Linked DNA regions of Sus scrofa. The protein of the gene in region 3 purifies or fractionates together with the protein of the main gene of each other region. This does not show direct contact. Links are inferred from orthologs where the notes say so. Each region holds a gene or a part of one and is shown on either strand. Other genes may lie near its edges. The genes, in order: CASP8, RIPK1 and IKBKB.

The links.
Region 1: the proteins of IKBKB (region 3) and CASP8 purify together in Homo sapiens (affinity purification with western blotting; 3 studies listed by BioGRID and IntAct, with this or other methods). This does not show direct contact. The link is inferred for Sus scrofa from reciprocal best matches to the Homo sapiens genes IKBKB and CASP8.
Region 2: the proteins of IKBKB (region 3) and RIPK1 fractionate together in Homo sapiens (co-fractionation; 3 studies listed by BioGRID, with this or other methods). This does not show direct contact. The link is inferred for Sus scrofa from reciprocal best matches to the Homo sapiens genes IKBKB and RIPK1.

Annotation. Positions count from the first base shown.
Region 1 is NC_010457.5:104,936,317-104,939,963, forward strand, and holds part of CASP8 (caspase-8), read left to right. Parts: intron 1-89; coding exon 90-228; intron 229-608; coding exon 609-653; intron 654-1,641; coding exon 1,642-1,727; intron 1,728-3,647. UniProt on the Homo sapiens protein: Thiol protease that plays a key role in programmed cell death by acting as a molecular switch for apoptosis, necroptosis and pyroptosis, and is required to prevent tissue damage during embryonic development and adulthood.
Region 2 is NC_010449.5:1,840,173-1,843,919, forward strand, and holds the start of RIPK1 (receptor-interacting serine/threonine-protein kinase 1), read left to right. Parts: upstream 1-970; 5' UTR 971-2,374; intron 2,375-2,887; 5' UTR 2,888-3,007; intron 3,008-3,747. UniProt on the Homo sapiens protein: Serine-threonine kinase which is a key regulator of TNF-mediated apoptosis, necroptosis and inflammatory pathways.
Region 3 is NC_010459.5:11,289,386-11,293,132, reverse strand, and holds the start of IKBKB (inhibitor of nuclear factor kappa-B kinase subunit beta), read right to left. Parts: upstream 2,800-3,747; coding exon 2,695-2,799; intron 1-2,694.

The DNA.
Region 1 (3,647 bases), on a different chromosome or scaffold from region 3:
GCAAAAAAAAGACAATAAATAAATAAATAAATAAATAAAAGCCAATATGGTTCCATCCAGTTTTCCAACTTTATATCTCCTCCCTCTAGACCTTGCTTGATATGTTTATAGAGATGGAGAAGAGGGCCATCCTAGGGGAAAGAAATTTGGAGACTCTGAAAAGAATCTGTGAACAAATCAACAAGGCCCTGCTGAAGAAAATCTGTGATTATGAAGAATTAAACAAAGGTAAAAATAACCTGACGGTGGAGTTCCTGTTGTGGCTCAGTAGGTTAGGAACCTGACTAGTATCCATGAGGATGCGGGTTCAATCCCTGGCCTCACTCAGTGTGTTAAGGATCTGGCATTCCTGCAAGCTGCAGCATAGATCACAGATACAGCTCGGATCTGGCGTAGTTGTGGCTGTGACGTAGGCCGGCAGCTGCAGCTCTACAGTTCCGAGCGTGGGCACTTCCGTACACTGGCGGTGCAGCCCTTAAAAGAAGAAAAAAAAAAAAAAAACCTAAGAGCTGTGAATCAGCAAATGGTAGTCATAAATTGATTGAGCCCTCTATGTCACAGCTGTTTCAAATCAAATGTTTGTTTGTTTGTTTGCTTTTAAACTTCAGATCGAAGAATGAGCCTTGAAAGTGCTTCGGATGAATTTTCAAATGGTAATGCTTGGAGATGTTTTCCAGGTTTCTTTAGTTTAATTTACCCCCTGAGAGCTTCATAGACCCAAGAGACCTGCTCTGCTAATAGCAGTGGCTACGTTGACACTTTCTCTGCAGGTTGGTAGATGTCGAAGCTGTCAAAAGACAGAGGCCCTGCAGCCCCAAGTTTGAAATGAGGGCAGTTGGTCAGTGATAAGATTTTCACTTACTCTGTGGACTGCATGGATATTATATTTAAGGCGGTTTGTGAATTCTCACTTTCAAAATGAAACGGACAGCACTAACGGCTGGAACCTAGCCAGACCACAGACTGGGACTTGAACCCATATGCCAGGACTTGAACCTGGCCTAAACCCAGATGGAGACTTGAACCCACGTTTTTAAATGAGCACTCACCTGATGTCTGGACTTGTGGAGGTTCAGGGTCTTTATGCCTCCTCGCAGAAGGAATTCAGCGAGAGACAAAGGGATAGGCAAGAAATAGATTGATTAGGACGGAACGCTTGTGAGAGATGCAAGCAGGCGGGCAAGAGGGTCTTCCCGGAGGATTAGGTAGGCTACAGTTTTATCATCCAAGGGGAGTGGGGGTTGGAAAAGCCCACCTCTTCCTTTTGGGGAGTAGCAGCTCCTCCTTGGTATCCTGTAAGGTGTGTATTCAAATCAGCAGAAGGGCGGTCCTCAAATTCCTGTCTTGGTCTGAATCTGAACGAAGGTCTCCTTCCATCCCCCACCCAATGACCTGAGGCAATTCTGAACTTCCTTCCACGAGCCGAGCAAGCCTGCCTTGCTCTGATGGCTTTTTTGAGCAATTTATTAACTCTCGGTGATCTCCCAGTGTCCCCTAGATTTCCCTCTCTATCTATGATTCTTTATTGGGACTTCTATAACTACCCGTGTCTACTCCATCCCTATCAAAAGGGACCTTACGTTGTCCCGAGTGCCATGTCCCTCCTTACCAAAGGAACTTCCCTGCCGTGTCTCTTTCCAGATATGTCTCAACTGGTGATCCAGGAGGGGTCCCTGGGAGAGCTGGCCATGTCGGACTGTCTGGGAGAACAGGACAGTGATTCAGAGGTATCTTCCCGTCGCCTTTTCCCTTTGCGCTGCAGATACTATTTATCGGATTCCTGAGCATTTTTAGCTTCCAGATAAAACTGAACAGCTCTTTGGTTTCCTGTGTATTAAGTTTCTATTTCTATTGGAATAGTTGGAGGACAGAGGGGTAGGGAGCCTCTAACCTCGTCTTTCGGCAGCTGCATCAGCCTCAAGGGCAGAGAGCTTTGGGGGGAAAGATGAGCAGGATTGGAAAAAAGTTGTCTTTTTTTTTTTTTTTTTTTTTTTTTTTTTTTTTTTTAGCTTGGCATTTAAAAACTGATTCTCCTTCGTGATTAGGTGTAAGCAGCAAAATGCTCATGATCCAAGTGTCTCTATGTTCTCATCCGGGTGAGCTGGCCCAAGAATTGCCTTTCCAGATATAATCACTTCTGTTTCTACAGCCTTCAACAATTGACCGCATCCTGACTCACCAGTCCATTCACTTCTCTCTGTGGCGGGAAGCAGAGGAAACCCTATATGCTAGAAGTCTAGTGGGAGACTTTTTTTTTTCTTTCTTTCTTTTTTTTTTTTTTTGCCTTTTTGCCTTTTCTAGGGCCACTCCCTTGGCATATGAAAGTTCCAGGCTAGGGACCCAATCGGAGCTGTAGCCAACCTACGCTGAAGCCACAGCAACACGGGATCCGAGCCGAGTCTGCGACCTACACCACAGCTCACGGCAACGCTGGATCCTTAACCCACTGAGCAAGGCCAGGGATCGAACCTGCAATCTCATGGTTCCTAGTTGGATTCGTTGACCACTGAGCCACGATGGGAACTCCCTGTAGTGGGAGACTTCTAATTAAGCTTGAGAGAGACCATTTATTTATTTATTTATTTATTTTTTTGTCTTTTTTGTTGTTGTTGTTGTTGTTGTTGTTGCTATTTCTTGGGCCGATTCCACGGCATATGGAGGTTCCCAGGCTAGGGGTTGAATCGGACCACCGGCCTACGCCAGAGCCACAGCAACGCGGGATCCGAGCCGCGTCTGCGACCTACACCACAGCTCACAGCAACGCCGGATCGTTAACCCACTGAGCAAGGGCAGGGACCGAACCCGCAACCTCATGGTTCCTGGTCGGATTCGTTAACCACTGCGCCACGACGGGAACTCCGAGAGAGACCATTTATTAGCGGGCTCCTGAGCAAATTACCAGACCTCTCTCAGTCTGAACATCAAGAATTAACCAAAGTCACGCGGCACTTGGTGAACAGTGAAGCACTCTGCAAGCGTCTTGCCCATCCATCAGCTAATGCTACCGAGTGCAAGAGAGATCATGTAACTTGTCCAAAGTCTTAAGGTTATTAAATAGTAGAGCCAGGAATTTGGCCCCCTAGCCTGGGGCCCTTTTCTCTGCCTCCAGAAACTGCACGGATTTCCCAATAAATGTTAACTACCTTAGTTTAGCACTGAAACAGCCCTGGAAAAGTTAGGAGGTCACCGCCTCTCCTCTGACTGATACTGTCAAGTGCTGGAGTCTAGATACTATAACCTGTAGCACAGCCAAGACCTGCGACTGGCACATCTCTATCCTCCTGTCCCTGTGATCCTCAGAAGTGGATTAAGCCGTCAGCTTTAAAAATCCTGGGGCCATGTTGTGTGACGGGCAGGCCCTCAGCTGTTAGCCCAGAAACCTGGATGAGTTGAGCAGAGAGCCAGGGGGATCACAAGGTCACAAAGTGGCAGCTCAGAGACAGCATGAGGACACCCATATGTCCAGCAACTCCTGCCCAATTAGAAATATATCCTAGTCCCTGGCATAGATGTCCTCTGCTTTGAGAAGAAAGGAGAATGAATAATACCAACACGGGAGTTCCTGTTGTGGCTCAGTGGGTTAAGAACCCAACATTGTATCCGTGAGGATTCGGGTTTGACCCCTGGCTTTGTTCAGTGGGTTAAGG
Region 2 (3,747 bases), on a different chromosome or scaffold from region 3:
TGCACACAGCTTCCTACAGTTGCAGACCCTGAAATGCAATCCTTTGTGGATCATGAATAAACCTTTTTTTTGAGAAATAGTTGGCAGTCTATTTTAAGTCAATAGGATGTACTGGTATCTCATTGCTGTTTAAAATCACAGTTTCTGGAGTTCTCTCGTGGCACAGCAGGTTAAGAGCCCAGCATTGTGACTGCAGTGGCTCAGGTTGCTTTAATGACATGGGGTCTATCCCAGGCCCAGGAACTTCCACATGCTGCTTGAGTGCAGCCAAAATAAATAAATGAATAAGAAGAAATTCATAATTTCCTAGTGACTTCTAATATTGACCATCTTTTCACATGCCATCTATATGGTAAAGTGACTGTTCAGATCTTTTGCCCATTTTCTTACTGCGATGTTCCTTTTCTTAGGTTTTTACTTCATTTTGGGTAATACTGTTTTAATATATGTGCTTTTTCTTAGTTTGTGGCATCTCATTCTCTTGATGTATGTACCGTTTTACAGTATGTTATCACGCTGTGTATAAGCTTTTTAACGTAACACTAGAGCAAGTATTTCCCATTTTGCTTGAGACTTCCCAATTATCATTGCAAAAGACTGCAAAATAAATACCTTGCTCTTCTACTCTAAAATCCAGAGTAGATTTTATTATCCTCGCTGTACAGGTGAGGGAGATGAGAGCATGATAATTGCCTATAGTTCCAGCGCCGCTGACCCGCGGAGCTGAGAACTCCCCTGGGGCTGCATGCCCCACCTGGGAGGTTTCTAAGAGTGGTTTCTAAGACTCCGCGCACTTCCTCTCCGGGCCTCCGGACTCGCTCTGAAACGCAGCAAAGCCGCGACATCTGGCTGGGCGCACTCCAGGTTCCGAAAGCTGTCCAGGAGGCCCGGCCGGCGGCGGGGCGGGCGCTCGGCTCGCCCTCCTCCGGGGCAGGGGCAGGGGCAGAAGGCGGAGCGAGCAGTCCACGCCCTCCTCCGGCCGAGCTCACTCAGTCGGCGCGCAGGCGACGGGGACACCGGATCGGCTTTCTGGAGCGCCGGTCCCGGCGGGCCCACTCCGCGAGGGCCGGAGCGCGCCGACCCACGGGGCAGCAGGCGGCGGACGGCGGGCTCGCGCAGCCGGGGGCGGGGAGCGCGGGGCCGCCCCGCCGGTGTCGCAGCCGACGGCTCAGCCCGCGGCGACCCTCGTCAGGCTCCGCGCCGGCGACGCTGCCGGGCGTCGGGGCAATCCTGGACTGCCCCCGCCGCCTCGTCCTCCACCCGGCCCCGGCCCCCGCCTCGGCCTCGGGAAGCTGCCCGCGGAAGCGAAAGCGAATCCTTCGGTGGGTCTGCGCTGGGAACCCGGACCGCGGTCAGGTTCCCCGAACGGCTTCCGCCCAGGGCGGGGCTCCCGCTTCCGGCGCGCGGGCGGCGGGCGGGCGACCGCGTTCCGGACGGACGGGGCGGCGGGCCGGTCAGGTGGTGAGCGTGGCCGTCGGCGTTCCCGGAAGTCAGGCTGTGGGCGTGGCCCGCGACCTCGTTCCGGGCGGCGGGGTTCTCCGCGGGTCGGACCAGGGACGCGGGTCCGGCGACGGGTGCTGGGCGCGGCCCGCGGCGCTCCCGGGGTCTGGCGGTGGGCGTGGCCCAGGCCTTCCCGGAAGTCGGCCGGCGGTCCGCGCGGGGTGGGCGTGGCCCAGGCGTTCCCGGAAGTCGGGCGCGGGCCGGTTACCTGGCCGCAGCGCGGCGGCTCCCCGCTGGCGGGTGGTTTCGGTCTGGCGGTCCGAGGGCGGAGCCCTGCCTCCCCTGTGATGTTGGAACCAACCGACGCCGTTCCCGCTGTCGAGCTGGTGGGGGAGGTGGGGTTTCACGGCGGTGTCATTGAGCCCGGCCTCCTTACCGCCCTTCGGAAGGACCTTCGCCTGGGGCCTGGGGCCGCCGCGGCTCGCGGGACGGGGGCGTTTCCGCGTAGCCTCGGCCGGGAGCCGGCAAGTGGGAGAGAAGGGTCCACAGCGACGAAGGGGCAGGATGTCGTAACCCCAGGAGGCCTCGTCCGTGGCCAGTGGCGTTTGCTCTTACCAAGCGCTCCACGACCTCGTCGGAGTTTTTGAAGAGGGCGAGCTAAGTTCTTCTTCCCTGAGCCGTGGACAAAACCCCGCCGGAGGCGTGGTGGTTGGTTGTCTCGGCCTGTTGCTGATCGTTTGGCAGCTCCTTGCTCAGAGCTCTTGTGTATCTTGGACAAAGCCTGAAGCCTTTGCACTCAACCAACTTTGCCGAAGTTCTTCGGTCTTTAGACCACTGTTCTTACCCCAAGTTTTACACTCGGAGAAATCAAGGCAGGAGTGAACTTGGCCCTGTAGAGTGACTTCGTGCTTGATCTGCATTTTGTAACCATCAGGTAGGTGCAAAAGAAAGGGAGACAGTCGTGGTCAGTTATACGTGCGGGGAAGGGCAGCTCTTCCAGACAGTAAAGGTGAAGACTGAGTTCGTTCAAAATAAAATGATGGGGTACAGCGGCAGCGTCATTAGTTATCACTGACGAGGCAGCAGTAACGCTTTTAACTTGTCTCCATTTTCCTCTGCGGCACGTTGTACTTGGAGGATTGGGGACATCCGGGAGAGTGAAGAAAAAGTCCCTAAACATCGAGTTCGGAAATCGCCAATTTCCGATTGGGGCTTATTAATCCGCGACACTGTTGATACGGCCAGTGTGATCGGGGAATTTGAAAAAACACAAAGCTTCCCACGCTCTGGTTGGATGTTATTCTCCGGCAAAAATGATCGTGTTATAACCTGCAGAAAGCTGATCTGGAACCACACACTTTGATGTGTGTGTTTCTCAGGGGTGAGCAAGTTTGTGAGATGAGGTTCTTGCACGTGATTTTAACAAAGGTTATGGTTTGCTCCCTAGAGAAGAAGCATGTATGTGTTAGCGGAAGTTTGAGTGGAGAGAGGAAAGACTCTGCCGTGTTAGAGGCATCATTCAACTCCAGGAGTTACTGCCTTTACCGTTAGGCCGCAGTGTCCTAAGGTACCTGGGGAGGCTGGCTGGAACGCTTCCTGTCATTCTGTCTTACTTATCATTGGGATGTTCCTTGCTCGGAGCTCTTGTTTATCTGGGGCAAAGCCTCAAGGGGTTATAAGCAAAGAACCCTTGGACACTTGAGTCAAATCAGAGTACTGTCAGCAGGGAAAGGAGGGCAGCGATGGGCAGCATTTTCCGTCAGACTCATTACCTACGGTCATCATTGTAAAATGGAGAAAATACTCCTTCCCACTTAAAGGTGACTATGAGTATTTGGAGTCGCTTTTTAAAATGTTTACATAGAAAAGTGCACAGGGCCTAACTGCTCTCTTGCGCATCGCAGAGGGAACCTGACCAAGTAAGACACTGCTGCCCGCAATCCCTCGAACCTCGTGTCAGTTAGAGCCTCCTGGTCCCCCCCGCCCCCGCCCCCCGGGAGCCACTCTCCCGACTGTTAGGGTCATAGATCAGTTTTGTTGGCGTTTTGGTGTTATTATTTATTATTAACAATTCACATGTCCCCCCAGCTTTACTGAGGTATAGTGAGAAACAAAATGGAATATAGCTATAAATATTTTGATACCTAGACCTGTCGTGCCTTTGAAGGTCATTAGTGAAGTTTCAGTTAACTTCAGTGGAAAAGATTGCTTTCCTGAGTCCCTGAATTAAATACACTTATGCAGGAGTTCCCGTCACCAGTGCTGCAGAAACCACCTAGAAACCATGAGGTTGAGGGTTTGATCCCT
Region 3 (3,747 bases):
TTTTGCTTTTTAGGTCTGTACCTGCGGCACATAGAAGTTCCCAAGCTAGGGGCTGAGCCAGAGCTGCAGCTGCCAGCCTATGTCACAGCCACAGCAACTTGGGATGTGAGCCACGTCTGCGACCTACACCACAGCTCACAGCAATGCAGATCCTTAACCCACTGAGTGAGGCCAGGGATTAAACCTGCATCCTCATGGATACTAGTCATGTTTGTAACCCACTGAGCCACTACCAGAACTCCCTTGATAGAAATTTTTTTGAAGGAAGCCAAGATGTATCTAGTCCAGCTGTAGTGAGACCTTTGCTGTAGTCAAGACTCTAAAAGCCCCAGCCTGTGTGCAAGCAGCCCAGCCCAGGTCTGTGTGGGGCAGTGGAAGGATCTGGCTCTCCTGTGGTGAGCTAGGCCTCTGGTTGCCCAGCCAACCACAGGGTTTGCTGGGGTCAGAGTTTCCCAGGCGAGTGTGAGAATTACTGCCTGCCCACCTGACCTCTGCCCTCCAGCTCTGGCCCCCACATTCCTCCAGGGACTGTTCCATCTGCTCAGAGCTGACAGGATACAGTGCAGGGCCTCAAATGTCTTCCAACTGATAGAGAGGGTGGTCTGAAATGCCCCCCCCCCCCGCCGCCGCCCCACCGTGGCTGCCCAGTGGCCTGAATGACCCTCCCTGTGGTAGGAAACCTGCCATCTCTTCAGTCCAGAGATGTGCTTGCCGACCTTGTTTAAAAAGAAGGCGCCCTCCCTCAGGGGCTTTGGGGTTCTGAACTTGGAGTCAAGAAGCTAATTTTAGCTATTTGGTGGGTGATGGCTACCTTCGAGCCAATATACAATACTGGAATCCAAAAAAATTCAGAGGAAATTAAGTCTTCCTGATACTAAGTGTACAGCACCCTCCTCGGATCACCTGTCTCCTCTGACACTCGAGGTACCCCAATGAAAAAGGGCATTCCATGGGCAAGGGGTGGACAGAGGCATGCGGGGACATGGGGCAGGTTCTGTGTGCCCCACTGAGGTAGATTTATAAATGATATTATGCAATTTTTTTTTTTTTTTGGTCTTTTTGCCATTTCTTGGGCTGCTCCTGTGGCATATGGAGGTTTCCAGGCTAGGGGTCAAATCAGAGCTGTAGCCGCCAGCCTACGCCAGAGCCACAGCAACGGGGGATCCGAGCCGAGTCTGCAATCACAGCTCACGGCAATGCCAGATCCTTAACCCACTGAGCAAGGCCAGGGATCGAACCCGCAACCTCATGGTTCCTAGTTGGATTCGTTAACCACTGAGCCATGACGGGAACTCTGATGTTATGCAATTTTAATAACATAACTCATAAGATGGATGAGCAGCTTGGAGATCCCTGTGGAGAATGTCAGTGCATATAACACCAAAGTGAATGGGAATATGGAATAATTAACACTGTGGTGTGAGAAACTCACGGCAGACACATAAGGAATAAAATCAGTGAGGCTCTGGAGTTCCCACTGTGGTGCAGTGGGTTAAGTCGCTGCAGAGACACCAGCTGGGGCAGTGGGTTAAAGGAGCCAGTGTTGCCACGGCCTCGGCTCAGATTCAGTCCTTGGCCCAGGAACTTCTATATGCCGCAGGTGCAACCAAAACAAACAAACCAAACAAACCAAAACCCAGTGAGGATCTCCCAGACTAAAGAAAATCGGTCCAAATGATTTAAAATTGTAAGAACTATTTGAAATGAAGATGTTCATCCATCATCCTTAGCAATAATTCTCACTTTTGTGTGTATCCATATAATTCATGTTGAAGTATGGCAAACAACACTGGGAAGACACCATAATTGGTAGATATTTAAAATATTTTTCAAATTAATTTTTTTTCTTTTTTGGCCGCTCTGTGGCACACGGAGTTCCCCGACCAGTGATCAGATCTGAGCTGTAGTTGCAAACTAAGCTGCAGCTGCAGCAATGCCAAAGCCTTAACCCACTGTCCCAGGCCTGGCATTGAACCTGCATCCTAGCGCTCCCAAAACACCGCCAAAACTGTTGCACCACAGCAGGAACTCCTCAAATTAATTTTTAAAACATAAATAATAAACATTTAGAAATGTTTTATTATTTTCACCCTTTAGATCTTTCTATATTTTGGTAGCTTTCATAATGTGATATATATATTGTGTATATTAGTAGGTGATAGTTTAATGTTAGCATAGCTACGTAATTTTAAATACATAGAATTGAAGCTGAAAGCTTACTTTTTTTTAGGGCTGCACCTGCAGCATATGGAAGTTCCGTGCTAGGGGTTCAATTGGAGCTGCAGCTACTGGACACAGCCACAGCAACTCAGGATCCGAGCACATCTGCAACCTGCACTACAGCTCACAGCAATGTGGAATCCTTAACCCCCTGGGCAAGGCCAGGGATCAAACCTGAGTCCTCATAGATACTAGGCTGGTTCGTTACCACTGAGCCACAAGAGGAACTTTGAAAATTTACTTTGCTTTATTTTTTTAACTATTTATTTAGGTGGCATAGTCAATAAAGCTTGGAGATCCTGAACCTAGAGTCAGGTCAGGAGCCCTTGACGCCCCCTGCCCAGGCTCCTTCTCTCATGAAGTCCATGGCCAAGGCAAGCCCCATTCCCAAGGAGCAGAGGCAGGGAGCAGAAGTCTGCCCCCACAACCCCCCAAACCTGCCACCCCGGCTCTTCCCAGCAGCACAGGGCCTACCTGATTGTGCCATCGGATGACGTTCCCAAATCCCCCTGTCCCAAGCCGTTCTTTCATTTCCCAGGCCCCACATGTTTGGGTTGTCAGGGAAGGTGACCAGCTCATACTGATGTCCTGCTAACTCTGTAAGCAATTCGGGGCGGGGGACAAAAAGTGATGGTTAAGAAAAAAATGGAACTCAAGGGCATGGACAAAGTAAGAGATACCATGGTCCTTCCATGTGAAAGAGAAAAATCGGAACTGGTTTTTATCTTGTAAATAAACCAGGCCGTTTGGTTTTGGTTTTAGTAGGAAACTCCTGTCTTCCCCCCCACCCCCAACCTCCCGCCCCCCCTCAAGCTGCATGGAAGCAGAAGGGAGGAGAGGCCCTCAAACTACAAGACCTGAAAGGGGATCCCAAGCCGGACCCCGGCCGGGCGCCCTGCCCTGGTGGCTGGGACGCCTCCCCTTCAGCTCCCCGCGGTCTTGCGTCACCGCGGCGTGGACGAATCACGGCCCCGGCCCGGGCTCCCACCTCGCTGCCACCACCCGGCGCCACCCCGCCAGGGCCGGGCTCGGGGGGCCTTCAGCTCCCACCCCCAACAGGAACTCGCCGACTCAGGCCCCACGAGAACATCTCCGGGGGCCTCGGAGAGATGGGGTGCTAACTCGCCCGGCAGGTGACACCGGCCGCCCGCCCGAGGGACTCACCTGGCGGCGGGACGCGGGCGGGGGCGCGGGTGGGGGCGCCACCCCAAAGACATTGAAGTGCGGGAACCTCCAACCCACCCGCTGAGCGCCACTTCCTCAAACACTTCCTGCTCTGACGTCACGGAGCACGTGGCGCGCGGCCCAGGCCACGCCCATCCCCGCCCCCGCTCCGCCCGCCCGGCTGGGGACCAGCCCTAAAACCCATCGTAAAAGGCGGGAGTTTCCTTTAGAAGTACAGCTTGGACCTGAGCGGTTCCTGGGACCGGGTAGATGGGGATTTCCTCACCCAGCCCTTCTGGGGTCAGCCTGACCTGCTTCCTAGACTTATTATGGGGGGAATTTCCCAGCCCCCGCCGGGATTGA